4 linked regions of the Lytechinus pictus genome follow. The protein of the gene in region 1 purifies or fractionates together with the protein of each later gene. This does not show direct contact. Links are inferred from orthologs where the notes say so. Each region holds a gene or a part of one and is shown in the gene's direction. Other genes may lie near its edges.

The links.
Region 2: the proteins of AP-2 complex subunit sigma (region 1) and epidermal growth factor receptor substrate 15-like 1 purify together in Homo sapiens (affinity purification with mass spectrometry; 4 studies listed by BioGRID and IntAct, counting the BioPlex papers as one, with this or other methods). This does not show direct contact. The link is inferred for Lytechinus pictus from reciprocal best matches to the Homo sapiens genes AP2S1 and EPS15L1.
Region 3: the proteins of AP-2 complex subunit sigma (region 1) and F-BAR domain only protein 2-like purify together in Homo sapiens (co-immunoprecipitation; 3 studies listed by BioGRID and IntAct, counting the BioPlex papers as one, with this or other methods). This does not show direct contact. The link is inferred for Lytechinus pictus from reciprocal best matches to the Homo sapiens genes AP2S1 and FCHO2.
Region 4: the proteins of AP-2 complex subunit sigma (region 1) and BMP-2-inducible protein kinase-like purify together in Homo sapiens (affinity purification with mass spectrometry; 4 studies listed by BioGRID and IntAct, counting the BioPlex papers as one, with this or other methods). This does not show direct contact. The link is inferred for Lytechinus pictus from reciprocal best matches to the Homo sapiens genes AP2S1 and BMP2K.

What each region holds. Positions count from the first base shown.
Region 1 is NC_087251.1:7,257,612-7,265,164, forward strand, and holds the start of AP-2 complex subunit sigma, read left to right. Parts: upstream 1-4,144; 5' UTR 4,145-4,545; coding exon 4,546-4,650; intron 4,651-7,553. UniProt on the Homo sapiens protein: Component of the adaptor protein complex 2 (AP-2). Adaptor protein complexes function in protein transport via transport vesicles in different membrane traffic pathways.
Region 2 is NC_087255.1:17,855,087-17,863,361, reverse strand, and holds the start of epidermal growth factor receptor substrate 15-like 1, read left to right. Parts: upstream 1-4,792; 5' UTR 4,793-4,821; coding exon 4,822-4,848; intron 4,849-8,275. Other genes in the region: glutathione S-transferase P-like, read right to left, coding at 176-310, 2,677-2,897, 4,617-4,699.
Region 3 is NC_087255.1:23,488,136-23,495,730, reverse strand, and holds the start of F-BAR domain only protein 2-like, read left to right. Parts: upstream 1-4,509; coding exon 4,510-4,514; intron 4,515-6,708; coding exon 6,709-6,783; intron 6,784-7,595. UniProt on the Homo sapiens protein: Functions in an early step of clathrin-mediated endocytosis. Has both a membrane binding/bending activity and the ability to recruit proteins essential to the formation of functional clathrin-coated pits.
Region 4 is NC_087262.1:11,854,544-11,862,024, forward strand, and holds the start of BMP-2-inducible protein kinase-like, read left to right. Parts: upstream 1-3,980; 5' UTR 3,981-4,591; coding exon 4,592-4,648; intron 4,649-6,164; coding exon 6,165-6,270; intron 6,271-7,481. UniProt on the Homo sapiens protein: May be involved in osteoblast differentiation.

The sequences.
Region 1 (7,553 bases):
TGTATATCATCATAAACGATGTAAGAGAGTAACTCAATAAGCTCCGTCAATAGTACAGTCTTTAAAGGAGAATGAAACCCTTGGAGCCAGTTAGCTTTTGTGAAAGCAGAAAAATCAAAGAATAAGATCAACAAAAGTTTGAGTAAAATAGGACTAGCAATAGAAGAGTTATGAGCATTTGAATGTCGAGATCACTAATGCTATGGAGATCCTCCCATTGGCAATGCGACCAAGATCTATGATGTCACAGATGAACAACTCTCTCCTTTTGGACACTGAAAATATACCCCAAAACATCTCTTTTTGCTCATTCTAATCATATGACAAACGATTCATCAATGATATAATGTTGTGAAACCTATGTACTTGTCCTCTCATAAAGAGAACACCTCACCTTGTGATAGATAAAGTGAGAATATAGGTAAAATAAGTACTAAAGTAATGAGGGAGTTGTACGTGTGTGACATCACAGATCTTGGTCGCATTGCCAATGGTAGGATCTACATGGCATTAGTGATCTCAATATTCAAATGCTCATAACTTTCTTATTATTCATTCAATCTTCCTCAAACTTTCAACAATATGTTTATATCATTGATGAATCGTTTGTCATATATGATTAGAATGAGCAAAAAGAGATGTTTTGGGGTATATTTTCAGTGTCCAAATGGGAGAGTTGTACGTGTGTGACATCACAGATCTTGGTCGCATTGCCAATGGGAGGATCTCCATAGCATTAGTGATCTCGACATTCAAATGCTCATAACTCTTTTATTGCTAGTCCTATTTTTCTCAAAGTTTTGTTGATCTTATTCTTTGATTTTTCTGCTTTCACAAAAGCTAACTTGCTCCAAGAGTTTCATTCTCCTTTAATGATCTTTAGAATGTTTGCCACAAATTAGTGAAAGATATTTGTTGAAATATTAAAATTGGGATAGTTTTTATTGTTTGAAAACAAAGTGCGTAGCTTTAGGTCCCCCCATCATACAGTCTTTAAAAGTTTATGGCGGGGTCCGCTATCACCACGAGGTTGAAGAGAAGATTTATATCATTATAAAGGGGGTAAGAGAGTAGCGCAGTGAGCTCCGTCGGTAATACGACCTTTCAAAGTTCACGGCGGCATCCGCTATCACCACGAGGTTGAAAATAAAATGTATATAGGCCTAATCATAAACGATGTAAGAGAGTAACGCAGTGCTAGTGAGCTCCGTCGGTAATATAAGACCTTTCAAAGTTCACGGCGGCATCCGCTATCACCATGAGTTGGAAGAGAAGATATCTATCCTCTTAGTCTTATACATCGCCATAGATAATACCGCGTCTTTCTCCCTGAAAAATTAGTAGAACATGTATTGTATTTGTAACGTCGTTAGAAACAAAAATCATACCATGATTTTTTAAAAATCTTATCCAAAAAATAGTATTAGTACCGGTATGGCCTAACGTTAGGCTTCATTATAAAAATATTTACCAGTATATTATTATCAATATTAGGCCCTAAATCTACTTACATTGTCAACTCCATGTTCAAGCAGCCGCACGCGTGTTTTGGAATCTTCAATGTGAGGAGCAGCCATGATATGACTGATGATGGATGATCGGCCGACTACAACATAGATCTGTGAAACACGTGCTCGAAGATACGCACCAGATCAGAGCAGCGGATCCTTGCTGGGTCTACTACCCGATTGAGGCCGGTGTAGCGGCGGATTTGGTTCCACCGGCGGATACCGTATCCGCCGGCAGATATCGTTCTTAATGGCCGATATCGTTTTTAATCGGAACCATATCCGCCGGGTTTGACGCGGCTTGATGTTTGCAGATTTGGTTCCTCGGCGGATTTGGTTCTATTGATTATACGTGTAATATTGATTTGGACAGACAACCTCGGCAGCGCGCGCATGCGCGGCTCGGCAATGTCGATCGCAGGGGGGGATTTTCGTCCGCCTTTAGTGAATTTTTATTCAGGGGCGGATCCATACAGCTTTTGACAAAGGGCTCGATGGGGGTGAGGATTAATAGGAGAAATAATGTCTCGATATGTATTACGTAGACCTAGCTGACACACCATACAACTATGCTATTTATTATTATAAGATTTTGATGAAATTTTCATCATTTTGTTTTGTGAATTTTTATACTATTTTCAGTCCGCAGTATGCATCGATCTCTTTAACTGTGCTTTTTCACACCATGTTTAGTGTCAGTTTGCCAGACTGTTTGGCGAAAATTTGCACCCCCATATAGGCCTATAGGTTTTTGAAACTACAAATTTTTAGAAAAATTTCAACAAGTTAAAATTTTCATATTTCAAATAAATGATTCAAATTAGTGTATGAAAATATTTTTTTTGCTGTTAACTCATATTATTGCTTGTAGAATGCTAATTTTTGGTGAAAACAAAATTTTTTTATTTCTAACAAACATAAAAGGAATGTCAGAACATGATTAATTTCTTATGTAGTTTATTGAAGGCCTATCTTTAAATTTTCATGTATTTTTTTTAATTTGTTTTTTTTTTTATTCTTTTTTTTTCAATGTTAAGGAATCTGAATTAATTTATTTGATTTGATTTGATTTATTGTTTTTTCTGCATCCATGGAACATTCGTATAATACATTTTCCATAACATAATAAACATAATATTATGTTAGCATTTTTGGCATGAATCATAAATAAAGTGTACTAAAAAAATTATTCCAGACAAAAATGATTAACTAACAAATTATTATATGATATTCACAATTTGCAGGAGAAGGATTGTCATCATAAGCAGATTGCTTGAAGAAAAATGACAATCCCAAACTAAAACTAATTAAATTAATTTATGCATTTATAAAGCAGAATTGGCATATATATTTTTAAATACGAAACATCAACTCATGCAATATTTTTAGTATGAAGATGAAGATGATAAAGGTGAGGGTGACGGTGATATGATGATGATGATGATGATTGAAGGGGACCGGAAGATCACCCTGACAAAAGTTAGATACGCCACGTACTGTTTGGTGCTCCCTAATTTACCTCTCAGTCATCAAATTTTAAGATCAATATGGGATCTTTAGTGAAATATAATTTCTCCTTTATATCTTTTGTTTCTTTTACTTAACTCCTCCTGGTTTTCATCTCTTTATTTTTTTTGCCTTTCTTTCTGTCCCTGCTCATTTCGCCCCTTTTGCCTCTTTTCCAGTTTCCTATATCGTTCTTGCACATTATGAATATATCTGGGGCGTATACGCGAGGGTAATATAGCACAAAAAATGAGAAATATAAAGAGGAAGGGGAGGGAGAGAAAAATAGAAAAAATATACGAGAAAATGTGGAGGAAATAATAATAATACATTGTAATTTCGTAATTCAAGAATTTCATTTGCAGTGATCATTATTTATACAAATTTATACAAATACTGATTTTAATTATCGAAACTGCCATTGTTTGTCTTTATTTAATACTCTGTATTAATCATAATTGATGCATATTGTGCCCAATTTATCCCCAAAATTGTGATAAGAAGGACTTTTCATACTGCAATAAATTAATAGGTATAAAATAAATTAACAAATGCATGTTATTAGACTACAAGCATTATCATATCATGGGGTAAATTCTTTGTATACTAGTAGTGCAGTAGACATTGAAAGTTGAATGAAGACTAAATGTGGACTATTTAAAGACCCAGACCAAACCCCAAAAGTTGACAAATCAGTCAAATCGAAAGCTATTAATTCAAACTAAAAACAGAAATGCAAGTTTTATGCAGTCATCGCTTACAGCTGAATATTTTGCTTAAGAATAACTCCAATTATCAGGTTTCGAAAATATACTTTCTTGTAAATATGCTTTCACCGGCCTCGCACCGAGACCGTGACGTCATGTAGTGTTAGAAGTGGTGTAATTCCCGTAGAGTTGTAACAAGAAAATGGGTTATTTTCCCCTTTCAGATTACGCATTTTATTTCTTCACTTCTATCACATAGAGATATCATGAATATATTTTTCTGCAAGCTTTAATTGATGAAATCTACCGCTTTTTGACTAGTTTTCTCGTACCACGTGACGTATGTGAATGAAGGATATCGCAAGAACGATATCTTCCGAAGAGAGTGGCCTTTCTTGGTACTGAATCCGCCGGAGGAGAACCATATCCGCCGGCGGATTTGGTGCCTAGAACAGTATCTGCCAGGCGCAGGATCCGCCGGTACACCGGCCGCGCCGGGGCCAAGCGCTTGAACTAGCTTCCCGGCTTCGCTAGTGCTCGCACCGGCTCGCACGGTAGTACACCAGAAAGGGGGAGGGGGCCGGGGCCGTGGGGGGGGGGGGGGAACTCGGAGGCTGGGAATTGGATAGGAAGAGTCCATTATATTAGAGGTTAAAAACTTCCAATGCAAAATAGGCATCTATTTAAAAGTTATATATTTGATTGATGATAGCAGGTATCTTCGACTGCTTAACTACTAAATGTATCGATTTTGTCATTCTCAAACTAAGGAGTAATATTGACACTAGTAATGTAGATTATTAAAAAAAAAAAATCATTTTCGCATGGTACAGAACCGTACCGTACCCCATATCAAAGTAATCAATCACCTTTCCATTTCCGGACTGATTCCGAGACGCCCTCCGATTGACAGAGCAGAAAGAATAATGGTAATTGTCTTCTTTTGTGGTAGTTTTGGACATTACAAAACATAGTTTCTTGTTTGATGTCGGTTAAAGTTATTTTTACATTAATTTTAGTCCAAATTTGATTGCTCTGTTGAAGTATTTGCCAACTTTATTTTCCCCGATTTTATTAAATGGCCCCACACGTTCGATTTTGTGTAGCCTACCTAGCCTGGAGGCTTCTGGATCTGGGGAGTAAAAGTCATCTACTATATGTAGGCTTACTCAGCCAGGCGGCTTCTAGAGAGTAAAAATCATTTACTAACGTAAGGTTACTCTCATACGAAGCCAGGCCTTCTATCTCATAGACCCACACAAAGCTAGGAAGCCAAAACCTGAAACTTTCACCCACGAGATTTCTACTTTCCTTCTTCTAAATCTAAGTTCTAAAAAGATCTAGCTCTAAGTACAATAAGAAACAAGATGGCGGCGTAAACATCGGGCAAGTCTCTTCCGTCTTTTCACAATATTTTTTCATTTTTTTGATGAATTCTTGTTTTAAAAATAACAACGAGAGCGTAGAAATGTCGGAAATGAAGTTTTATCCCATTTACATGATTTAGAGCTAGATCTTGTTTTAGAAGGAAAGTAGGAATCTCGGGGGCGAAAGTTTCAGGGTTTCTTGCGGTACACGCAGATGAATGGGGAGGACTGCCTGGCTTCGTATGAGAGTAACCTTACGTTAGTAAATGATTTTTACTCTCTAGACATGCTAGAAGCCGCCTGGCTAGCCGAGGGATCATTCCTCTCTGTAGAGGCTAGGATTTCCCACGGTTACAGTAGATCTAAATCACAGATTGTATAAATCGTTTTGAGCCCGAACTAAAGTAAATGGGCCAAAACAATATCCCCCCCCCCCCCGAATTAACCCAGGGAGCCCAGGGGCTTGCCGTGTATTTGACCATACTCACGGGACTAGGGTGATTTATGGTCTAAATATTTCTCCAAATGAATTGTGAAAACAGAAAGTATACAATTACCACGATTATATGGATGACGGTAAGTTTCCTGACATCTGGGCAAAGACTGGAACCTCAAAAAACGAAAAGTTCTCTCCTTCTACCCCAGTCTCGATCGGCCATTTTGTTACGATTTTTAACAAAAATGGCCGATCGAGACGGGGGTAGAAGGCAGTGGCGTAACAGGCGGGGGGGGGGGGGGCAGGGGGGGGCAAGTTGCCCCCCTGGTGGATTTAATCGCGAAAATAAAATAAAAACGGGAAAAAGAAAAAAAGGAGGGAGAAAGAAAAGGAAAGGTATAGGGAAAAGGGAAAAGAAACGAAGAAAAAACATTTTTTTAATGGAAAAGGAAGGAAAGTGGGAAAATGTACGAAAGAACATTTGAGAACAAATCATTCTGAAATACGCCTATGTAATGCAAAAGCACGGTGGGAAATAAATTAAAAGATGACAAAATGGCAAACAATAGGGGGAAACGAAGGTAGAATGTAATTAGTCAAAAGCTAAATTGGAAAACAAAGAAAAGGGACAAGAAAAGAAGAAAGAAAGATGGACTGGATACAACGTTGTGCTATAAGCTTGCTAAATTTTATGCAAATAAGCTTCCGGGGTCTTGCTCCTGACCCCACGTAGTAAGGGCTCTTCATTTATAACCTTCATATAACGCCCCCCGTTCATCCACGTTCAATAACCACTGGCATACCGGCGCGGAGGGGGGGTCTTGGTTCCACACCCAAGAGGAAATAAAATAAATTATAGGAGACAACATATAATGAAATTAATGGAACCAATGAAATGTGTTATTTGCTGAATATAATGGAAAAATCTATCACATAATTATAATTTAATTTCAATGGGCAATTTTTTTCCAGCTCGCTTTGCACACTGGCGACTTTTTATAAATTTTTCCCACATTGCTAAGTTTTGCCCCTCAAAACATTTGGTTCATCACGCAACTGGGTTAAATAAATGTGTTGTGTAAAAGCTACATTCTGTATATGCCCGCGATTTGATTAAAATGGCGGCAATCTGCGAGGTTTAAATGGCTTTGATATCAAGAAGTTCTGGGGGTTCCGCCCCAGACCCCAACCGCACAGTACTGCGTATGGAAGGGTTGGGCCATGGCCCCAAAAATTTTTACAGACAAGAACAAAAACAGGAGGAAAGAAAATCAAAGGAAAAGTGTAGTATATGATTTAATTTACTGAACTTAATGTGAAAAAATAGCTCAAAGTTAGATTCTCATGAAAAGGTGATTTTTTCTCGCTCGCTTCGCTTGCTCGGGACTTATAAAAAGCAGCTTTTTAGCACATGTGTTATACTGCGCCCCTCACATTTTTTTGGTTACTCTTCACGCTACTGCCGCAAAGAATCATGTTCACAGTGGCGTACAGACCACAAAAATGGAATCTAAAGAGAGAAGAGTAAAATATATTATTTTCTGGATATCATGTCAAAATCTATAACAAAATTGGATTTTTGTATCAAAAAGCTCATTACACCATTACGCCTGTTCATACCATGATATGACCGGGAAATTTTGGGCTCTTGCCCCCCCTGGCCACCGGTAGAAGGAGAGAACTTTTCGTTTTTTTGAGGTTCCAGTCTGTGCCCAGATGTCAGGAAACTGCCACTCGTTAGACCTTCATCCATATAATCGTGGTAATTGTATACTTTCTGTTTTCACAATTCATTTGGAGAAATATTTAGACCAAAATCACCCTAGTCCCGTGAGTATGGTCAAATACACGGTAAGCCCCTGGGCTCCCTGGGTTACCCCCGAATTTGATATTTTTGATTAATTTTTTTCTCAATAAATAGTGTGAAATTTAAAGAAATTTAAGAGCACGAGAGTTCACTTACCCAGTCTGTTATGGTCGCCATCTTGAAGTCTTTGTTATTGATACCTAGATACCACACGCGTGTATA
Region 2 (8,275 bases), on another chromosome or scaffold:
AATTGGGACAGTACTGGTAGGCTTCATGCCACAGAATTCAGTTAACTTTTACTGTCCCTGGCGTTCCAATGGTTGATATTTCTTAGTTTGTATTGCTAATACTGAAATGTATTTTTGTATTATCTGCCGAATAAATTAATAACAATAATAATAATAATTTTGGGATCCAACTCACCAACTCCTTGAGCTAGAACCTCACAGCGATGGAGATCTTCACAATCACAGTCCATTCCTGTAGCCCTACCAATGTAATGAAGGATGGCCTGCTGCTGGACCATAGATACACCTGATGATGTCAAAATAGCAGGTACTACATAGGAAAGAGAGGTGTATGAAGAGGCAATGTTATTTTCTATGTAGCGGGCGGGGTGTAAGTGATCACTAATAAAAATAGCTATAAAAATAGTGCACTATTCCATCATTGACATCACGGAATAGCAATTTTTCTTCAGTGGGCGTTTCATTTTCAACGTCATCACAAACGAGTGAGCATATGTTTGGTCATGTGATGCTAAAACCAATCAGCATACATGATTTAAATTATGTAGGATATAAAAGATGATATACAACACTTTCTTTTTTCCGAACTGCTTGGTAGTTTCACAGAGATCACACAGAGTGCACATCTCATGCTTGAGTGAACCCTAAACTTCAAACCTTGATTTCTCCTTATTCTTTGAATCATCAATGGATTTTTCTACATTTAATCAAGTATATTAATGGGCTACTGTTCATCAATTTGACAAGTTATTGTTTCAAAGCTTAGGATGTGCTTTTTCAAGCTCAATGAAATTCTCAAAATTAAATTTGGGCGACTTAAAGATAAATTCCAGTTTTGGTAACGATCTAAAAATGACTTTTTACAGAATCTAATATAATGACCACCTAAGTGTCTGTTTGTATGAATAAAAAATATGTGCCAAAGGATTCTGGAAGAAATTGTGTAATTGCTGAGAAATAAGCAAAATAAGCGCGGATTCGGTCACTTCCGTCGGGTCTTTATTTTAGCAATAATAATACACTGTCCCACGTGTGCCTATCTGTGTTGGTGATCTTCAGTGTGAACATTTTTCAGCGTAGATTTCAAGATTTCACAAAGTTCAGTTTATGTAACTGTACCAGATCTAGATCCTCGATGATATACTGACAATTAAGCCTTGTTTTACAGACTTTCTCATGAAATCAGTGTTTACTGCAAATACTGGAATTTCTCTTTAATGTTGGTTTTAAGATGGTTGGTCACAATCTCCTTTTAAAACAAAATTCTCCATTATGATAGAAGGAACCTATCAAGTGTTAACAGAATGGTATTTTCTTCCAAAGGTTAACCTGACCAGGGGGGTGTTTCACAAAGATTTAAGTATGGCTTATTAAAGTCGCACTTAAATACAGACGCGTACATGATATGCAACGCGCAATCTTATTGATCAATACGCAGTAGTGCCCGTCCTTTTGGCAGGATCTGACCAATGCGGGCATGCCTTTGTACCGCGCACAACTAGACATTTCAGTGCGACTCTAAGTGATACTTAAATCTTTGTGAAACATCCCCCAGTACTCATTGCAAGACTACAATACAAGTAGATGATAAGCATTCCATCTCCTCAACATCTTATCATCATTTTGAAATCAGAGACCAGGGCCTGACCTTTACTTTTTTTTTAGGGAGCCAGCCGGGCTCCTCAACCACTTTTTTAGGGAGCCCGCAAGGGGTTCAGGGAGCCCAAGTTTATCACATTTTTTTGGGGGTCATAACAATGGTCAGTATTAAAACACACCAACACAATTCCTTGTTTTTATAATCATCAATACCAGGTGTATTATTATTAAGTAAATGTGAGGATTAACTGAACTGAAGAATTAATCTTACAGCAATTGACTTTTGTGAAGCCCTTTTGCTACAGTAACAGTCTAACATTGGACTTCAGGTTTTATCAGAATGAGATATAGCACAGGATAAGTCACTCTTCCTAGCTTGTCTGTTCAAATTTATATTCATTCAATCTTCAATATTGCTCAACAGATTGAGCAAGCAATAATTAATATCATTTGCAGAGAGGAAAATAAATGACAAAAACTATTGAAAATGCATTTAACCACTGACTAGGAATACACTTTTCTTTCAGAACCTTCGCAAAATATGATATTTTCATCCTTTGCTCAATCTGTTTCATTGCATATTCAATTTCCACTCAAATCGACATTCATCTCATCCATTATTTCAAAATAGACATCTTTGTTTACATCAAACTCAGCCACAGGCACTAGGAATGCCCAAGGGGCTCATACAATGACCCCTGCCATGGGGACATACCATTGTAACCAAGCAACACAGGCTCAATGTTGACAGTTACGAGGTCACTCACTGTTTTTATGAATGAACTTTCTTGGCTGATACTAGAAAAACTTAAGGAGCAAGCCGGGCATTTTGATTTACTTTCTAAGGAGCCCGCCAAGGTTTTAGGGAGCCAATTGCCACCGGGCTCCCGCTAAAGTCGAGCCCTGGAGACACATCAGGGTTAACCAATATTAAAAAATGACAATAAAATAACAAAGATCTTTTGAGAATAACATGTTCACATTGCACCTTATACCCTTCATATGAGTTCCAAAAAATATCAAAACATTTTGATGCTGAATGGAGTTAAGCGGTGGGGGAGGAAAATATGAAATTACCTTGTCCATAGGTGTATAGGCCTTGTTCTACTCCTGCTTTCTTGGCTTCAGGCCAAGTTTCTCGGGTAAAGTCTGTCTGATTATAAGGTACATTGGCTTGCTTCAGCAGGAGTCGAATAGCTTCTGCTCGACCTCGACCAGCGAAATAGTGTATGGTGACAAAACCAAGGTCTTCGGCCGGCACACATCCTGCCTTGCCTGTAGCTATTTCTTGAAGTTTTCTAAGTTTGAAGAGAAATAAAAGTCTTTGGAATGAATGTACATGCAATTAGTATGGCTGAGTAATAAAAGCAGGATTTAGATTTATCTTTCAAAAATCAGAATCTGGTATTCCAGTAAAAAAAAAGAAGTTGAGAAGTGGAAATGATGTGCTATCATCACATGCATGGTCAAATCTCTTTTGCCTTATAGTCAAAATGCTACAACTAACAAGGGAGACATCATACACAGATGTATGAAAATATAAAATAATTATTTCTTGTAATACAGAAAAAGGAAAGTAGCTCATTAGCCCATGTAATGAATATTTATGAAGGTGTGTATCTGACAGTTTTCATAAAATATTGCTGAACTTTTATCTAAAGTTTTCAGCATTTTGCTTGGTGAATTTTACTTTTTATTTTACTTAGATTTTATTTTCAGCCCTTAGTACCTCTGTTGACTTGTTAAAATGAAATGAAATAAAGTTCTATTGATTTCTCTATTTTAGAAGGGATTTGACTGTTGTCTTAAGTTTATGAAGCACATACCATAGATCTGTAAAGGTAAACAAAATTAAATAAAGGGGAAGTTGACCCTGCTGACAAGTTTGTTAATGGTATTAAGGGATGATGAAAATCCATCGAAGAATGAGAGATAAATCTAGTCAGCGTGTGAAGTTTTTAATTTGTGAAGTCATATATGAGCAGCTAAAACTAATTATTACGATTGTTGAAACTTGAAAGTAATTGTACGGATGTGTTAGATTGCAACATCAGCGCGCAAAGGGTTAATGAAATATTAAAAGAATTATTTTCTTATAGGAGGCATATGATGAAATATCCACAAATACCAATATACCTAAAAATTTCAAAATCGATTTATTAAGAAAATGAATTAGTTTACAATTTTGTGGAATTTATTAATAGAGCTGCTTGTCTGTGATGTCACGTCACGTCACAATAACAATTATGCAGAGCAATTAGCATAACTTGTCATGTTATTCTAATTATTTTCTTTAGAAAGTTTAGTTTGAATTTAAACCTCGCAGTTTCAACTTTCACCAATCCAGATCTATGACATACACGCCGTCAGTCTCAGAACCCAAGTTCTCAATCAAGTCCAACTCCAAGACGTGTATTTCAATTTCAATTTTATGGCTTCAGTTCAGTTTAAAAAATAATAAACATGGCATGGGTAGCGGTAGACAGCTGGCAGCCGTCTGTTTCGAGGAGTTTTTAACTTTTTTTAATTTGTTTATTTCTCCTCGTATTTGGTGAGTGAAGCCAACGGAGTTCAGCTGAACAACCAACATAACAGAGACCGAAGCTTTTGGTTTTGGCAGGTTTGGTCTAGGGTAGCGGGGCTTAACTTAAGTTTTAATCTTTTCTGTAATCCCGACTAAGAGTAAGACTAAGTTAATCCCAACAAACATGACAAACAACTAACTTAAGCTTGATCTACATAAAACTTTTGCATTCATTGACATGACATTGCTTTGCATGAAGTTAAATTACAAGTGGCCAATGGCAATGGCCTGAGCTGTGGCCTGTGCCCGAGCTGTCTGGCTGTACTGCTGGTGGTACCGGTATTTCGGTAGCTGGTGGTGTACGGTGTCTAACTCGAACGTCTCCGGGCCGGTCCTGGCTGCAGCTGCACTGAATCTGCGCTCCAACAAAGTCTGCGGATCTTAAACCCTTCGACTCGGGCAACCAGTTTACTAAGCTCAGTAACTTACTTACCGCATCATCATACCACTTTTACCCGTGAGGTAAATAGTGCCTAATGCAGCAATAATTATAGCGCCAAACTGGAGCCCATCCATGGTCAAATTGATGATTTAAATTAAGCCGAGCCCAAGTTGTTCAACTTCAATTCTGCCTGACTGTAGAGATTCCACCGCAGCTGGCGCTGCTACACATTTATTAATTTGACCGAGCGATCAAGATGGCTACGTTCCCGTCGATCAGCCAGGTAGGATACTGAGTATTAAAGTTGTTTTTTATTCAATATATAGTTTGAATTATAAATATTAAGAGGAATCGACCAATTTATGAATTGTTATATTTTAGGAATATGAGGCTAAATACCATTAATGTATACTTATATAAATGTTATTGTTACTTAAATCTCGACGTCACATGTCTCTTGAGCGAGTTGAGCTGAATAAAGGCGATTGTCGTTTGTTCGGATTTCACGTGAGAACTCACGGGGTAGTGGCCGACGGACAGTGGGCAGCAAACCTGCCCTGCCCACTCTTTGTCCACCGCACACCCTAATTCAGCCAATTTCAGGTCAACCTGGCTCTTTCCTCGTTCTTCTGTTTAAATTCTAGTACAGACCACCTTTTTGTGTATTGTATTGTTTAAGCAGAAGGAAAGAAGAAGAAAGGAAGGAGAGAGGAGAACTTGAGAAGATACATGTAGGAAAGAAGAAGCAGAACAAGAAGAGGAGGGAGAAGAAGGGTGGAAAGGAGAAAAAAGAGGAGGAGGATGAAGAGATTTAGAAAGAGGTGGGGAAGGAAGAGGAGTAGATCTACAGAGCAGGAGAAAATTGAAGAGAGGGCAGGGAGCTTTGACTTATTTTGAGAAAGAGTAGAAACATGAGGAGGAAAAGAAATACATTGCAAGAAGTCAGAAGAAGATACTTTAGATAGAGATGAAATCATTCAATTGTTACTTTAAGTCAAAGTATAATTTCTCATAAATATATTAAAATTTCACCACAAATAGAACTCTACACACATGGATTCTATAAAATATAAGATGTAAAAATTAGCCAAAATCAATTTTCTTCTTACAATCATTTTCCGTTCGCACCCCTCTTCCCATTTGAAATGTATTGCTCACTTGAAAAGGCAAACATGTATTTTCTGTGCAAAAAGTTTGAAAATCAACAATATCACTGATCAATCAGCTCTTTGACTTTGTTATCTAAAAAAAATAAAGACTGAAAATATGCTTTTGACATCTTTCACTGTCTTTCTATTTGAATTCCCCCTTTTTTGCTTTGGAAGGAAAGTTTTCACATGCAATTATTTTTTATGCATTCAGTAATACAAGGTTCACCGGGGTCTGGGGTTCTGATGTACAAGCAGAAAATTTTACTTGTATTATTTGTATCCTGCCTTCCTGTATTTGATCACCATGTTTGACAAGTTCATGTGACTTAGACTTTGACATGACTTTTGAGATATACATTTATCTTTAAATACATGTATTGCTATGTAATATTAGAATGTAATTATGATATTTTGTTAATTTTAAATCCAATGTTGCTGCCCACTGGGTTGGCCACCCTATGGTGGCACTGGTTTGTAATATTGATGCTGCTGACTACAGAATTGGTCAAATCATTTTAATTTTGTCTGCAATCTCAACAGCATGTATGTGTTAAACTCTTCATAATGGAATAGAATTCTGGAAAATTGTTTGAATGAAAAAAGAGAAGGTTGTATGGAGAAAAAGAAGATAGATAATAATAAAATCCTGCTTCAGTTGATTTGAATGCTAACTTATAAATACATGAAGAGGTGATTCTCATTTTTTATGTGTAAATCTCCTAGGAGATTAAAGGAGAGGAGAAGGAGATGAAGAGGATAAAAAGAAGAAGAGGAGAAAGGATGTTTTTTAATGCAGCAAAAATGAAAAGGTTTCCTATATCGAATGATATTTTATTGTAACCAAGTACATTTGTAAACATCTCAGAAAAGGGATTTGTTGTGAATGACAAGTTGCATATATGTTTCTCCATGAGTTGTATTTCTATTTGAAATTCTTTGTATTGAACATGTATGTGTTGATGCTTGTGTTTTGTTGTGAATGACAAGTTGCATATATGTTCACCCCCTCAAATTTAAATGGGTTTGAATGCAAATTCTCCATGAGTTGTATTTCTATTTGAAATTCTTTGTATTGAACATGTATGTGTTGATGCTTGTGTTTTGTTGTGAATGACAAGTTGCATATGTTCACCCCCTCAAATTTAAATGGGTTTGAATGCAAATTCTCCATGAGTTGTATTTCTATTTGAAATTATTTGTATTGAACATGTATGTGTTGATGCTTGTGTTTTGTTTTATGCTCGGGGGAGGGGGATTAAGGAAGAACCACACAGGTTTTAAAGACCAATTTGTTTATTTTTCAGAAATTTGAATTTTCATTACACTGAATATTACAGTTTAGCAATCCATCTTGATTTTGAAAAAATACAAATTGTTTTGAGTCGGCTGTTATCACACAGCTGCTTGTGCATTACTTCATTAAAGCTCATCGTTATCTGTATGCAAAATACATGTAACTTGTGCTCTATTATAAAAGAAATCTACCTGTAAAGGTCTAATCCAAGCAAGGTTGTACAAAAATATCAAAGAAGACAATTTTAAATGTGAACAAGGATTAAGAAAGTTATGGAAGTATGAAGACTAATCACCTCTTAAAGTTTTAAGTCCTCATTTCATGATCACAAGTATCAGCAAATGCCAAATGGATGAGGGTAATTTTAGTTTACTAGACCAAGGTCAGATGTCAGGTTGAGGTCAGTAAACTGGTATCAACTTCAAACCTAATGAAAAGCTAAGATCTTGAATTCTAAATACACTGTATTATTTTGAAATCAAAGTCTTCATTATAAGGTGAACATGGATACATGTATATTGGTTTAACATGAATCATCAATTACTGTTTACAATTTACAAGAGTATACTGTTAGGTTTCTTGGCTAAAATCGAAGGTCATTTCGGATCGATGAGCTGATATAACTTTCTACATTAAAAAAAAAGTAATATGTTACACAGCCAAAAGGTGTACAAAGTCATTCATAGGTATTAAAAAACAACAATTACAATTTAAATAGGTACATGTGACATAGTTATCAAGCAATTTTAAATAGGAATTCAGTAAAACATAATAAAATAGAATGCAAAAAAAAATACATACCAATTCCAAAATGATGTATTAAATATTAGATGATTGAAAATTAAAATATACCTTGTTCATTATTTTAAAACTTAAAGAAAAACTTGTGTGAGATGGTCATTGGATATATCATTCCTAGGACTTCGAGATAAAATGAACAATATCAAATTTTTTTTTTTTATACTTATTTTGAAAAAAATATTCATAACAATTTGTTTGCATACATTCCAGAAAGCTCGTATTGAAAAAGCCAATATGAGTGACATTGTCCTTTCATAGCCTTGGATTTTATTAAAAGGGTATAAAATAAAATAAAAATGTTTGATTGATTTAATTTCTGTGTTACAAAGTTGGCAGTGCTGCTGCCTGCTTCATGAATTGTATATTTTTGTATAAATGCAGGAGAGACTTCCAGGGGTGTTCCATTATGTACTGTACGTAGTCAATAGGTACACTCGACTGCATGTATATGATCAGTACTCTCC
Region 3 (7,595 bases), on another chromosome or scaffold:
TGACGTCATCAACCGTGCAATTTTCGATCCATTCATCGTGCATTGTAAATGTGATGAATTTTGTCAATTGCACTCGCGCACCGAGACTGCAGCTGCAGGCACCAGCAGTGTGCATGTTGTAATGACGTAACAATCAACAGACCGAACTCGCACTGCATGAGCGTGTTTTGCATCGAAATTCATTAATTTCATATAAATGAAAAAAAAAAAAAATCAATTTTTAGGTGTCATATAAACCAAATAATGAATTTTTTTTCATTCCTGCGATGGACAGAATACTTCATTTGGTGAAAGATGAAATAATGATCCATTCAACTCGGCTACGCCTTGTTGAATGGATCATTTCATCTTTTACCTCATGAAGTATTCTGTCCATTGCACTCATAAACATTCATTTTTTGTATAATATACACAGAGAAATCCCTACCTACAGTATACCTTTAAAAGTACTCCAGAATTTTGTTTTAAGTGGCCAACAAGTATTAAAATATCAATGAACATTCTGATAAAGATCTGAAGAGCACCCACTCTTCAAACCAATACCTGTTTTCATGTACCATTTACAATGTATGCCTACTTGTACATGTTATTTACTCAAAAGGCATTTATTGTTATATTGACTTAATATTGACTTCATAAAATACTACAGAGAAAAAAAATCACGATCAGTTTTTATAAATGAGATATTGACAAATCAGAATGCATGTGAAGAAGATCGAATCTTATTTTTCTTTTGCATCAATGGCACAAAACTCACTTGGCAAACAGGCATACATTGTAATGTCATATACTATACAGTGCATGTACATGTACATGTACAAGTAGATCAATGATCCTGTGCATTGCCATTGAACAAAAGTGCATATTTAGGAGAAGAGCGAAAAATTGCAGACATCGTACTATAAGGCCCTGCATGAGTATTAAAATCTTCAGGCTTTATATTTACATGTTTGTCCTAGTATGCATGTACAATCTTGTATATTAAAATAGGCAGTGCATCTTTCTGATAAAAATTCAGGAAACGCACCAAATGTAATTTTCAGTCTTATTGAAGAGCGGTCTCGTTCGTTCGCAGACGAGTTATTTGTGCATGAGATAAGCTTAGGAGTGAGTCACTGTATTAGCACTGACAGACACAGTCAGCAAGAGAATGGCCTAGACGCAATTTCTATCAAACAGACAGAGAGAATTATCATACATGTATAAAATGTCATGTTGAGAATACCCAATTTCTGTGATAATCTAGACGTGTATATATTACAAGCAAAATGTCCAAATATTGTATATGTGTACATTGTACACACAGTGGCTTAAATGTACGGTATTCTAATTATTGACAATAATTTTGTGAAAAAATATGTGAGTTACTATTAAAGATGTTCTCCAAAAATGGTGTGAATTACAATTAAAGAAACAAAAATAGCACTAGATGTACTCCTTTGAAAAGAATGTAGGTTCTCAGAAAACCCATTGTAGCATCTGTAAAAACACAACAAAAAACAAACCAAAAATGGATGCTTCACATTATTTAGATATCAATTTAAAAGGTCAAGTTCACCCCAGAATAATGTTGATTTGAATAAATAGAGAAAAGTCAAACTAGCAAAACGCTGAAAATTTCACCAAAATCTGAGTTAAAATACATGTAAGAATTTTATGACATTTAAAAATTTTGCTTATTTTTCACAACAGTAATATGCACAACTCAAATGAGACAGTCGATGATGTCCCTCACTCACTAATTTCTTTTGTTTTTTATTGTTTGAATTATACAATATTTAATTTTTTTAAGATTTGACAAGGGGACCAACTTGACTGAATCATATAGTATTAAACAATGCTCATTCCACGTGTTCAAGGAGGAATTAGTCTTTGTTTCAATTGACAATGAGGAGAAAAAAAGAATATTCCATATTTCATATAATAAAATACAAAAGAAATAGTGAGTGGATGACGTTATCAATCTCATCATTTGCATACTCACCAGGATGTGCAATACAAACTGTTTTGAGAAATTAAGCAAAACTTTATTAAAAATGTCATAACTTTCTTATTTTACGTCCGATTTTAATGAAATTTTCAGTGTTATGCTTGTTGGATTTTTCTCTTTTTATTGAAATCAACTTTTTGTTGGGGTGGACTTGTCCTTTAAAGTGAGGTGAAATAATATTTATGTAATTTATTGGTATACAGAGTTAAAAGGATTGATTTTAAAAGCTGTTGGTGAATCAGACCTGTTTAAAAAAAAAAACCTGTTTGGGGTTTCAATCTTTACTTTAGATCTGTCTGGTAATACATTAGAACAAAAATCCAGATTTTACCTGACATACACGTAGCTATGATAAGAAACAACATTTTTATTTGATTGTTTTGTTCCAGGCTTATTTGCAAGAATTGAAATAAATAGGAAATTTTTATTGATTGAGAGTATTTTCAAGAAGTTGAAAATGTACGCTCTACTTCCAATTTTTAAATTTCATGTTCTTGGCACTTAGGAGCGTGAGTTTGAATCCATTAAAATGGGCAGTTGCCAATCTCAGACAGAAAGCATTCCTAGCTTTGTTCGAGTTTGATGGTACATAGGCTATGTAATTGAAGTTTTATAGTATCTCTTGCAAGGAATGGGGTTAAATATGGGCTTCATAAAACTGAGACACTTTAAAAAAAAAAATCAATAACCGCAAGTATCACCTAGTCCGCAGGCACAGACCCTGATTGCAACTTTGATCAACAAGTGTGCCAACACGCAGACTAGCACATATATACAAAACTTGCTGTTCCTGAGTGAGAGGGCCTTCAGTACATAAGGCATGAGTAGGCTGCACATTCAGACCCTTTACTCGAGTGAAGGGTTTGCACAGCAGACTAAGTATCACCCACAGGGCAAGATACTAGAAAAGTGAAATTAAAGCCAGTATACACCACAACCACTTCAAACAACACCAGCTCAAGACCAAAATTGGATCCTTACCCAGGGTGCAATGTTTTGATGTGTTTTCTATTATTATTCATACCTGATAAAAAAGGAACTTTTATCTTCTATTTCCAACATTCATATTACAATATATACCAACATGTACATGTATGCCAAAAAAAATGCATTTATATGAAATTAACATTATAGTATTTATACATGTAATTTTAAATTCTTGACTCAGTCACTTGGTTGAGAAAAAATGCAGGTGAACTTGCATAATTGACCTTTCATATTAAAGTCACAGAAAAACTTAATAAAAAAATGTAAGACAATTCTGTAGACCAAATTACTAGGCAAAACATTATATGTTATAATTATATACAGGTTTCTCGAATTGTGAATAGATTTGACTTACTTTATACTAGGCAAAGTTACCTGTTGATGTAATAGACCCCGAAGTGTAATATATCTTTGCTATTGATCAGAGTATAAAAGGAAGTTGTCCTATGTTTAATAGGTCATGTGATAGATCTAGGTCGTATAACACAAGTCTCATTAAAAGATATCTGATACAGATATAAAGGTAAATAAAGAAGTGTGATGACGTGAAGATGTGTTTAGACTCCTCATGAAGACATGATGATCCATACATGATAAATACAAAGTTACAAACTATAATAAAAGAAGAGTCATGATAAGGTGTGTTCAGACTCCTCATGGAGACGTGAACCATATCGTGCAATAAGTACAGGCCTGCCAACTACAGTAGTTGGCCTATGACTTTATGGTATTTCATATACATGTACTTTTTGGTGAAAATAAGTATGAATAATAAATAAAATGTGAACACATACTTGTGTCTTAACCAGATATTGTGGTTTTATTATGTGGGCTGTGAGACTTTCCCACTTCCTTTTTTTTCATTTCACCTCCCTGCTATGATAAAGTATCTTTAGTTATCTTTCACGTTACATTGAGCCCAAATTCTCTATTTAGAAATCCCTGGAAAAGTTCTCGTAGTTTTGAATATTTACAGACTAAATTTGCCAAGTCAGATCTTTTGGGACCAGGGGGGTGTTTCACAAAGATTTAAGTATGACTTAGTGTCGCACTTAAATACCGAGTTGCGTACGGTATGAAAGGCTTGACCGCATTGGTCAGATCGTTGCATATCATGTACGCGTCGGCATTTAAGTGCGACTTGAGTCATACTTAAATCTTTGTGAAACACCCCCCAGGAGGCCGTTTCATAAAACTGTTCGTAAGTTAAGAGCAACTTTGAGAACGACTTTCGAACCTTTCTTTCATGCTAAATAATCACTAAATGAAATTTAATGTTGAAAACCACAAGAAATGATCACCAGTCATTCTTAAAGTTGCTCTTAACTTACGAACAGCTTTATAAAATGGCCCTTAATTTGACTGTTCAGAGAAATTTTAAGAATAAACACAATTTTTGTATGATCCAGTCCAAGACATTACTTTTGACCTGGGAGAGAATCTGACTTTTTAAATGCAAGTTTATCTATATGCCTACTACATGTGTTCTGCAGGTTTAATTTTCTTTTTAGAACATTTGCAGTAGGGCCTACATGTCGTTTGTTTTCTTAATAGTGCCCCCCCCAAAAAAAAATTTTGTATTTTCCAGAATAGGTTAGTGTGAAAGCGTCACGTCACTGTAGACAACATACATTTTTTTAAATTAGCTTAAATCTTTCAAATTGGCCATTTTTTTCATGAACATGAAAGTAATTTTCAACTTGGTCCAGTGATCACCCAAGTGACAGTCCTTCAGCATTGATTACTCTTGACCAGTATCTTATCACAGGTAGCCATTTTCCTCTTCCTTCTCCTCAACTTCCTCCAACCGCAGACTCGTTGGAACTCCATTGAGCAATAAACACAAGGCAATTTCCTCACTTCTCGGGATGTGATTAGATAGAGATATATGATGATAAGAAGAAGCGGAAATTTGGGATTGCTTTATTCGCCTCGTTCTGTATAAAGCTGGTAGTCAGTTCAATATCTCTACCATTTTCGGGCAAAAAAGGTTATTGTTGGGGGAGGGGCAAGGCTTATTGGTATTTAAATCCATTACAACATCTTGAAGACCTCAGCTTGAATCTGCAGGGATACCCAACTGATCATATGTCATAGCCAAAGGCTTTGCCAGGTGCAATATTCTTTCATGTATTAAAGCAGGAACATGCCCCGATTTTCTGTCAATGGTCAAAACAGTTGGAATACAGTTCTTTAAGACAATTTCCACACTAGAATGTGAATCATGAGTATGTACATACACCCCGCGTCACCACACAGCTGTTGGAGTTGAGCATGACAAAATACTTTTTGAAATATTTGATGTAAAATAATATCATATTCAGACACACCTTCCATCTTTTAAACATGATGGAAAGTGTTCTGCTACTTAACTCTTCTGTATTGTTTGTGTTAGTTCAGATTTTATACCCCTTTCATAAACCCAATTATGCGGCTAATAGCAGCATAATTTGGTCGTAAAATCGGAGGAGGACCAGAGTTATCCGCATTATTTTTATGCTGCAATTATCCGCATAATAGCGGCATCGGGACCAGATTTTGACTTTATGAACGCATTTTCAAATAATGCGGATAATTGCCATGGTGCGGTCACAAGGTCACCCTTTTCCAACACAACCTCATCGTAGGTGGCGTGTGCAGTTGTCATTACGATTATCCGCCTTTTTCAGGACGGGCGCTCGTAAAAATAGTGCGGAGTATTTTCGGAGTTTGTGAACGCAATTTTTATTGAATTATCCGCATTACTCTTAGGCGGCTAATTGGAGGATGGGTTTATGAAAGGGGTATTAGTCATGGCGATTTGAAAGCTGTTTATTACCTCTCAAAATATGTGTACTTGTACTCATGATTGTACATTTATGATATGTACTTATCAGCAAAAACTGAATTAGGAGGAATTCACCCCTGCTGTAAATAATTGGACTTTGATTCATAAAAAGGGTACATTTGACTCGATTTTGAACAGGTACATGTACATGGACATTTTTCTTTTTTAGTTTTTATGCTGGAAATGTCAGACAGGATGCAAATCTTCAGAATACTATACACTGTGACTCTTAATAAAGGAAACCAAAACACAAGGAGAGAATCCATCTAATCAGAAAGAATGAATTGAGAAGAGCAATCTAAAACTTGTTTCATCAAAATCGGTTATAAAATAAGCGAGTTATTGAAGTTTGAAAAGTCTTGTTCTTTCCATGGGGATCCTCAAATTGGCAAACATGCTTCAAAATGGCTGATTTTGTGGACAACTCTCCATTCATTTTGTTCACAAATTGTCAGATTCTCCTCTTTATTTGACATATTTCACATTATTTCCTCCTGACCTTGACATGATACGATGTGAATTATATTTTCCCATGACATATGTTATGCTCAGAAGGAGGCAGATGCAATTTGAAAGATAATGGGGAAAAACTGAAAACTTGTACACAAAACAAAAAGAGAGTTGTCCACAAAATCTGCGATTCTGAAGCATGGTGGCCAAGTGGATCCCCATAGAAAGTACATCAAGACTTTTTAAACACCCATAACTTGCTTTTTAATATTTTATCACCAATTTTGATGAAACTTGTTTTAAATTGATCCTCTCATTTTACTTTTTCCAATAAGATTGCATCTCTTCTTGGGTTTTGGTTTCCTTAAACTGAAATATATCGCCTATACCATAAAACCTTGACTCCGTCAATTCAATTGATTTATTTTATTTTTGTTCTATTTCTCCTATCAAGGTCGCTTATCGAGGATACGTACCACAAGAGTGTCAGCAAATTGGCTAAATCTACCAGTAATTATTCTCAGCTTGGGTAAGTGAGTGCAACGGTTAATTGTGAGCCCTTGTCTCCTGTTTATGATCTTTGCTAAGAGCCTCGTAATGATGCCGCTTCTGCTCCTTTCCCTAATTTATTTGTAAGTCATGATAAGCTCAGCCCTGACGTGGGTTAATTAAAAAACTGTTGTGGAGTTTTCTACTAATTTAATCATCATTGTTTCTTTGCAGAGCTCGAAGCCTAGAACATCATTTGTTTTCAGTGAAGGTGTATATTAGTGAATTCCCTTTAAGCACCATGTAGCAAATTATTTCATTATCCCATATAGCGTAAACATCAGTTCCATTTTGAAATTCGTAGATTAAGTTGTTAATACCTGAGTTGAGTGTGGTTTAACCTGTAACTAAAGTTATGGAAAGTGCACCTAGTAGTTTATTGTATGTCATCTAGTAAAAACTATAGAGCAGCTCTATGTTGATGCTTCATAATGATGATGATAATGATGGTAAAAATGATGATAATGGTATAATGATAATAATATTACGCATCATAATGCATGTAGGTATCATCTTTTACAAGGCGCACTATTAGTATTAATCCCCAGCTTTTGCTTGAGCTGCTACATTCAGCGCTCAGTGCATTCTAGAAGTTAATCCTGCTAGGTACCCATTTACCTCTCCTGGGTTGAGTGCAGCACAAATTGATAAATTTCTTGCTGAAGGCTGGAATTCAAACCCTCGACCATCTGTATGTGAACGTCGGACCATGTGGCTACTACACCTCCAAATGCGCACACATGTTCATTTGACTTTTTAAAATTCACTCTTCTGCTGGTAACCAGGGCCCTG
Region 4 (7,481 bases), on another chromosome or scaffold:
GCATTTTCATTCATAACCACATACCCATATCAAGACAACAAAGACTATACCTGCGTGTACACAGTTGACATTGGTTTTTTTTCTGAAGAGGTGTAACAGCAAAATTCACAGAGATAAATAAATACGTAGTGCGGTTCAATATGCAATACTATGTGTCAGTCCATTCTGTATTCGTATGCCACGGTGTGTAGATCTTGTCGATGTATGTCTGTCCATTCAAGGCGTAGTATGTGTGTGGTGCGCGCACCCGTGTGTGTGAGGGTGTGTGTGTGTGTAAGGGTGTGTGTGTGTGTGAGTATGTGTGTGTGTGCGTGCGCGCTTGTGTGTGTTATTTTACCTCATTAAGTATGCATCAGATTGCACGATTTCAAGTTCAAAATTGCAAAAGCTCCCTACCGTGGGAGGGGCGACACCCCCCTCCCACACCCTCCCCCCGCTCGGTCACTTCGCTCCCTCGCTCGGGCGCTTCGCGCCCTCACTAGCGTTGGCAGCCCAGTCATCCCCCCCAGGTGTACGAAATTGTCTACGCCACTGAATGTGCATGCTCGTACCATAACATTATAAATATACTAAAACACAAAATCTATTTATACATGTACAGCCATTCTTCAAGCACTTTTTAATACATGATGAATAAAACAAGAAGAAAAATGATACAGATCAGTAGCACCTGACTTTGACAATACGTAGAAGAATGGAACATTTGGCAAGAGAAGTTTAATTGTTCCAGGCAGAAGCCTGCAAGCTTCTTACTTGAAAAATCAAGGCGATTGAAAGGATTAATTGGCCCACAAAACAGATGATGACAAGCACCCTTAACGTAATCTGTATATTCAAAGATTAATGGTATACCATGTTTATTTGTGCACGAATTTTGAATGATTCATGAATGCAAATTTTATGAGGTCAATGTACTGTTTTATGTGTTCTCAGACAGGCTACAAAATGTGTCGAGAAATAATCTGCATGTGAATTTCTCAACAAATTAGATAAGGTACCTTTAAAATTCTGGCAGCAGTGGATAGTCTAAAATAAGGAGGTAAATTTTCTACAGTGATGATGAACTTTCATGATTGTACGTATGCATGGAGGCTACAAACTGTATTGACATACTGACAAATTAAAACTGTATACATTCTTGGTAATTTTTAGCGAACATATAGTGTCAATTAAGTTTGAGTACTTGATACTTAACAAATTAAAGCCCTTGCCTCTACAAATCCATGTTTGTTTCTTCTGTTTTTGTTTAATGCTTGTTTGGAAGGACCACTCTACACCTGAATTTTCTTATTTTTAGCAGAGGTACATGTAAATGTACAACTCATATCTGAGATTTTAATGAAAAAAAAGAATGTCCCCCCATCACATTCACTTGCCTCCGGCAAGCTGGTTTGTTGTGCCTTAAAGCCTTTCCAGGTGTTCTCTTTAAAGCAGTGGATATGTAGCTACAGAGCACTTTATTCTTTTTTAAAGTTGCACTTTTTTAATAGAAAACACCATGACCATATAATATATTGTCTAAAAATGCAATTTACAGTATCATCTCCATGAAATGACCAAACAAAGATGCACTCAATTTTTTTTTTTTTTTTTTTTTTTTTGGGGGGGGGGGATGAATCTAAAGCACCAATCCAGATATACATGTATGTTTTGAAATAAAACATTTTTTTTAATACATATTTTTTCAAATTTATCCAACAATTTTATAAAAATGCCAAGATATATTATAGGCAGGCACATGGTTGTTTCCAATAGATTTAGAACAAAGACATAATTCTCAAATATGTTTAGGAAAATCCTGAGCCTTAGGATAGATTCAAAATCATAGTGATACAAGTAGCCTATTGTTTATTAATTCAATTGTACTACGTGTGTGAGCTCTAAAATTGTCTGAACTCTGTTCTTTATCTGTAAATCTAAATCCAGAAAAAAATGGATTACTGAAGATGCATGTGTGTACTGAATCGCTTTCCACAGAACCTTTCTTCTGTATTGATGGCTTTCATGTAGGATTTGCATCCTAGATACTTTACTTGTGGCCAAGGGGGAGACATCTGTCTGCATAATTGTGCACTGGACAAGATCAATGTCAGAATATTCTAACCAAATTTGCTATTCACTGACCAAGGCATTGAATAGTAAAAATATTGCACCTTACTGCTCAGGGCAACAGATGCATACCACATTTACAGTAGCATGAAGAGTGGCACTTAAAAGATTTTCTTCAGTCTTTTTAAAAGGATTAACATTGGAAACGGCACATATTCAATAAGCTTTGAGGCTCTGTTTACTTTCAGAAGTTACTTTATTGGAGACATACATATTTGTACATGTAGTGCAATTGCATTCATTGTTCTATTACATGTATCATAATCATTATTAGTTTACCAAATTGTTTTGAAAGAAATTAGGAAATCAAGTTTTCTGAATAGTAATGTTCACAAACGGGATTTCAATATTTTTAGGGCATTACCACAATACCACGAGGCAAATTTCAATAATGAAAATTCAATTGTTGGGGAATAAAATAAGGCACAAGAAATCTCCAAGGACAGTCAGTGGGTATCCGCGGCCACAGCCATCGATAGCTTTCAATTTTTTTAGGCTTATATAATTCAAGCCCTGCAAACATTACTACATGATGTACATGTATGTACCCTGTATGATGTAGGCTTTCATGTCTACAATAGATGCAATATAAATTTAGGTCTTTGAATTAGGCTTACGTGGGCAATATTGCAAGCTGGTTGCATAATATACATGTAAATCCTCCAATATCTCCACACTATCTACAAATATATTGCAAGATCACATGGACAAACTGATCAATGTCTGAAGGTCATCTTTTTTATAATACAGTTAGTGAAGATATCTGGTTCAGGAAAACACCCTGTGTGTGTGGCATACGGTTATGAGTCACCACCCTGGCAATGTAATGTACAATGTATTGTTATTAGACTGGGACAGCTTACAATGTGGCGCAGTAAAGAACATGGAATGCACAGTAGACAGGCCAAACTTGAAGTGGGGGTGGGGTCATACATTCATGTACATGGTATATACTGTAGTGCCTGCATCCCACTTCTGTAGTAAACGTCCCCTGCAAACTGTGAAACAATATGTTTTTGTTACAGAGAGTCAGAGGCAAAACAAAAGGAATGTACAATGTATTGTTTGTATACCTGGGACATCAAAAACAGTATGCATTTACAATGTACAGTAGTTCAGTATTGATGCACACATTATCCAGGCCAGTATGAATGCTTTACTCACGTGACACAATGCCTGCTTCCAAGCTCAGAGAAAACACAAAATTAATTCATATGACGGAGATGAAACAAAAGGATAGCGCAGGAAAAGCATTTTAGCTTTCTTCTATTTGCCCTTCATCAGAAACATCTAAAGACAGACTGCAGGGAAAATCAGAGCGATATAGCTCCTAACATAATAAAAAAAGCCCTGGAAACTAATAAAAAGAGCTCTCGAATCAATTAAAAAGAGCGCTGGAAAATCCCCATTCATTACAATGAGCTACATGTAAGTGAATATTGTAGATTTATACAGTAAGTTGTAAACAGAAGCCGCCGAAAATAACAGATGCATTGTGAATCATACTGTCTTCCTGGAAGTCTGCACACGAATATGAAGTTCCCTAGACACTGTTTTTCTCTGAGTAATAGATTATAGTTCCCAATACCTACATTTTCTAAGACTGCATTTTGAGGTTTTGTGAGGCACATCCAAACAAATTATTATTCAAGTACCCCCCCCCCCCCTGCTACCATCATTACCAGGTCCCTCGGACAGGACAAAAGCCTTTGGTTCTCTGATTGCTGCATGTAGCTACATGTATGCAAGCATTCATGTTTTCTTTTTATAGCCATCAGGTAAAAATTATATTAGTACCACCATTTGTACGGATCATGTTTGGTTTTGTGTGTACAGAGCACTGGCCCCGTCTTACAAAGAGTTACGATTGATCCGATCAATCCCAAGTATATGGAAATTCATCAATGTCATAATTTTTCTTTAGGAAATTTACTCAATGTCTTTTGAAAACAACTAGCATACTGAATTGTCAAGAAAACAGTGAATGTATGAATGTACATCATTTCTAGAAAATATTTTGAACAAACATGCAATTTTAGATGTTGACGTTGCTGGCTGTCCATAGTTGTGTTTGATCGGATCGATCGCAACTCTTTGTAAGACGGGGCCCAGGTCAGCCAACCAGTAAGATTTTAATAGATTTAAAAGATTTTTTTTTTCTTTCAAATTAGCAAAATTAAAGCAAAAGTCAGATTATTTGAAGTATGAGTCATATACTTTTGATAGTGTGTACATGTAATTGCCCCAAATAAGATTTGTTTTTTTGTTTCAATAGGATTTTTAATTTCTAAAAAATTCATATCTCCATTTACAAAAATGAGTACAAAGTTTCCCTTTCTTTTAATAGCGATGTCGTTTTCAGTTTTCTTGTTACTCATTAAGTATTAAAGGGTTTTATCCCTTTTTCATTGATTCTGCAGGTGGGTTTGCCCTGGTCTTCCTGGTCAAAGGTCGCAATGGAGTACACTACGCCCTCAAGAGGATGTTTGTCAACAACGAGCAGGATTTGGTCGTCTGCAAGAGAGAGATCAAGATCATGGTAAGAAAGGAGAAGTTGGCCTCTCTTCTTCCATTTTTTTCTGCCAATAATACATAAAGTATGGTTGATTCCTCATCTTCAAGATGTGAAAACAATATCATACATGTACATGTATGTAATTCAATGAAAACGCCTTTACTGTCGGGTCTTTAAAAAAAAATTATTTCTCTCTTCCTTTGCTCTCTCTCTCTCGAGTAAAATCCATTACCATAAAAGTGCATATTCTTGGGGCCATGTTGCACTAATTCGATTATGATAGAACAATCAATTTTACCACAAAACACAGTTTTGCCCCCTAGTATTCTGCGCAGTTGAAAGGCACATGTATATGCAATCAGACAGTACATTGAGCCCAAAAAAATGAAGGTGGTATAAATTTTGATTTTTATTTGAATAAATTTTTGATGAAATCTTTTCAGAATGAAATGAAATATAAATCTTGCAATACTACACACACATTTCGTATGAGAGATCCTCTGTTCCACACTCTTCAAACATGGCTTTTTAAAAAGTCTCCCCCACAGAGATTACCTGTACACTGTGTGTAGCGTGGTATAATTTTTTTTTTTCCTTCAAAATTTTCTTGTAAACTTATGAAAACTTTAACAATATTTTGTTATGTACAGTTGAGGACAAAAGTTTACATGTACCCATGGAATTCAGTGAAATTCGTCATGATAGCACAAATATTTTATACATGTAAGATACAATAAATTTTATGATGTTTGGCAAGTGTCAACTTTTCTTCGAATTTCCTGGGTGTATGAAACTCTTGGCCTCAATTGTACTGCTTTTTTTCTGTTTGAAAGATTTCCAAGTCTTGATCATTACATGAAGAAATTATTATTATACCCACATGTTTATTTCAGGGAGAAGCTATCGTAACAAAACTGCTTTTACTCTGAATGTTTTATTATACTGTATGCTGAGCAAAAACTCTTGGATCAATAGAAAAAAAATCCACAAACCTGCCATCATGAAAGAAGTAACGGGGGGGGGGGGGGGGTTTGAATAGAATCACACTTGATTTTCGTCAGATACATGTATATCTTTGCTCGATAAAGTCATACATTGTACATCAAAACTCGGTCTTTATAAATTTCTCCTCAATTTCTTGTAGTGTGAATGGGTTGCCTATTAATGTTTCGCAAATCTGTTAGTATGTGCTTCCAGGCAAACAGGACAGCTTGAGCCTGGGTATCTTGGGAAATGTCTTTTCATGAAACCTGAACTGTTTTTCTTCCCTCCCCACCCTTCTCTCTGTCTCTGTCTCTCTCTATCTTTCCCTGTCTCTCTACATCTTTCTCTGTCTCTATATATCTTTCTCTGTCTCTCTATATCTTTCTTTGTCTCTCTATATGTTTCCCTGTCTCTCTATATCTTTCCCTGTCTCTCTATATCTTTCTGTCACTCTCACGCTTTTTCTCTGGATATGTATGTTTATATATCTCCTGGTGTCTTTCTCTTTCCATCTCTATTTTTCTCTCCGGCTCTCTCTCTCTATTTCTTGATCTAGTCTACACTGTCGGGTCACAAGAACATTGTGCCCTATGTCGATTCCAGCATCACACGCAGCAACAGTGGAGTCTATGAAGTCCTCATTTTGATGGAGTATTGTAGAGGTAAGCCAATTTTTTTTTGCTATTACCTTACCTGCTGTGGGAGATTAAAGGGGGAAGTCCACTCTGACAGGTTGGTTTTAATCATAAAAAAAGAGTGGTTTATTGTTTTAACAAATTCAATTGTACATAGTCAAGAGTGACTCTTTTCTATGCGAGTATGGCCCTCCTTTTTTACATTTGTTTTTGCGGGTTGACAAATTGCATCCTTTTGGAAGGTTGTGTATTCCATGTTTTATTTTGCATGTATATTTCATATCGTTTAGTATTTTTTCATATTCATTTTTATCATTACTTTTCCTTATAATGAGGCCCAGTTGCGGACCGTGACCCGGAGGAGACAATGATTGGAGGGGCACTGTATTGTTTGTGAACAATGCTGTGCCCCTCCAATGCTTTGTCTCCTCCGGGTCACGGTCTGCCACTGATGAGGCCTATTACTTTTTATCATTACTTTCGTATAATTTTTTAGGGGGGCGTGTAGCAACTTGTCAGAAATTTCTGAAGTTAATCGACTATATTCACGCCCCTGCCATTTATGAAAAGCTAGATCCATCCATGTGGTGCACTATTTCAACAATTTAAATAAATATTTTAATTGACCTAATTTGTATTGAAATTACTTTGGAAAAACTGAAACTTTGACCTATAATTTACAAGGGTAACAAAACTGTACCTTGGCAATTCCATAAAATATGTACGTCCGACTCCCTATATGTGGGACTTTAAAGAATTTTTCTGTCTCTGATTTCTTGTTCTTTTGACAGTTTGTAATGCTCTCAAATGACCATGACTTGGTCGGTTTATGAAGTGAAATAAAACTTGAGAAAATGGGGGTTGGACGTACAAAAGGTTGACTATTTTGTGGAATTGCCCACCTAGAAAAATTATATTTTTTCAGAATTAGGTCAGTTTGCAGATACTGATCATACATGACACATACCGTGTACATGGAGTCTACAAGTACAGTCATACATGTAGCAAATACAACCAAATCTTTCCAAGAGATATAGGTTACAATGCTTACAACCTAATTCATTTCACCAGGTCTTTCTCCCCGTAACGCATTATGCATATGTACCTACAGAACAACATGAGAAAAGTTTGTTGCCCTTTGCATTTGTAGATAGTCTTGAATCCAAACTTGAATGCTTTGAAAAGAGCAGGAGTTGGTCTATTGCATACATGTACAGTATGTGAGTTGAGGCAAATGA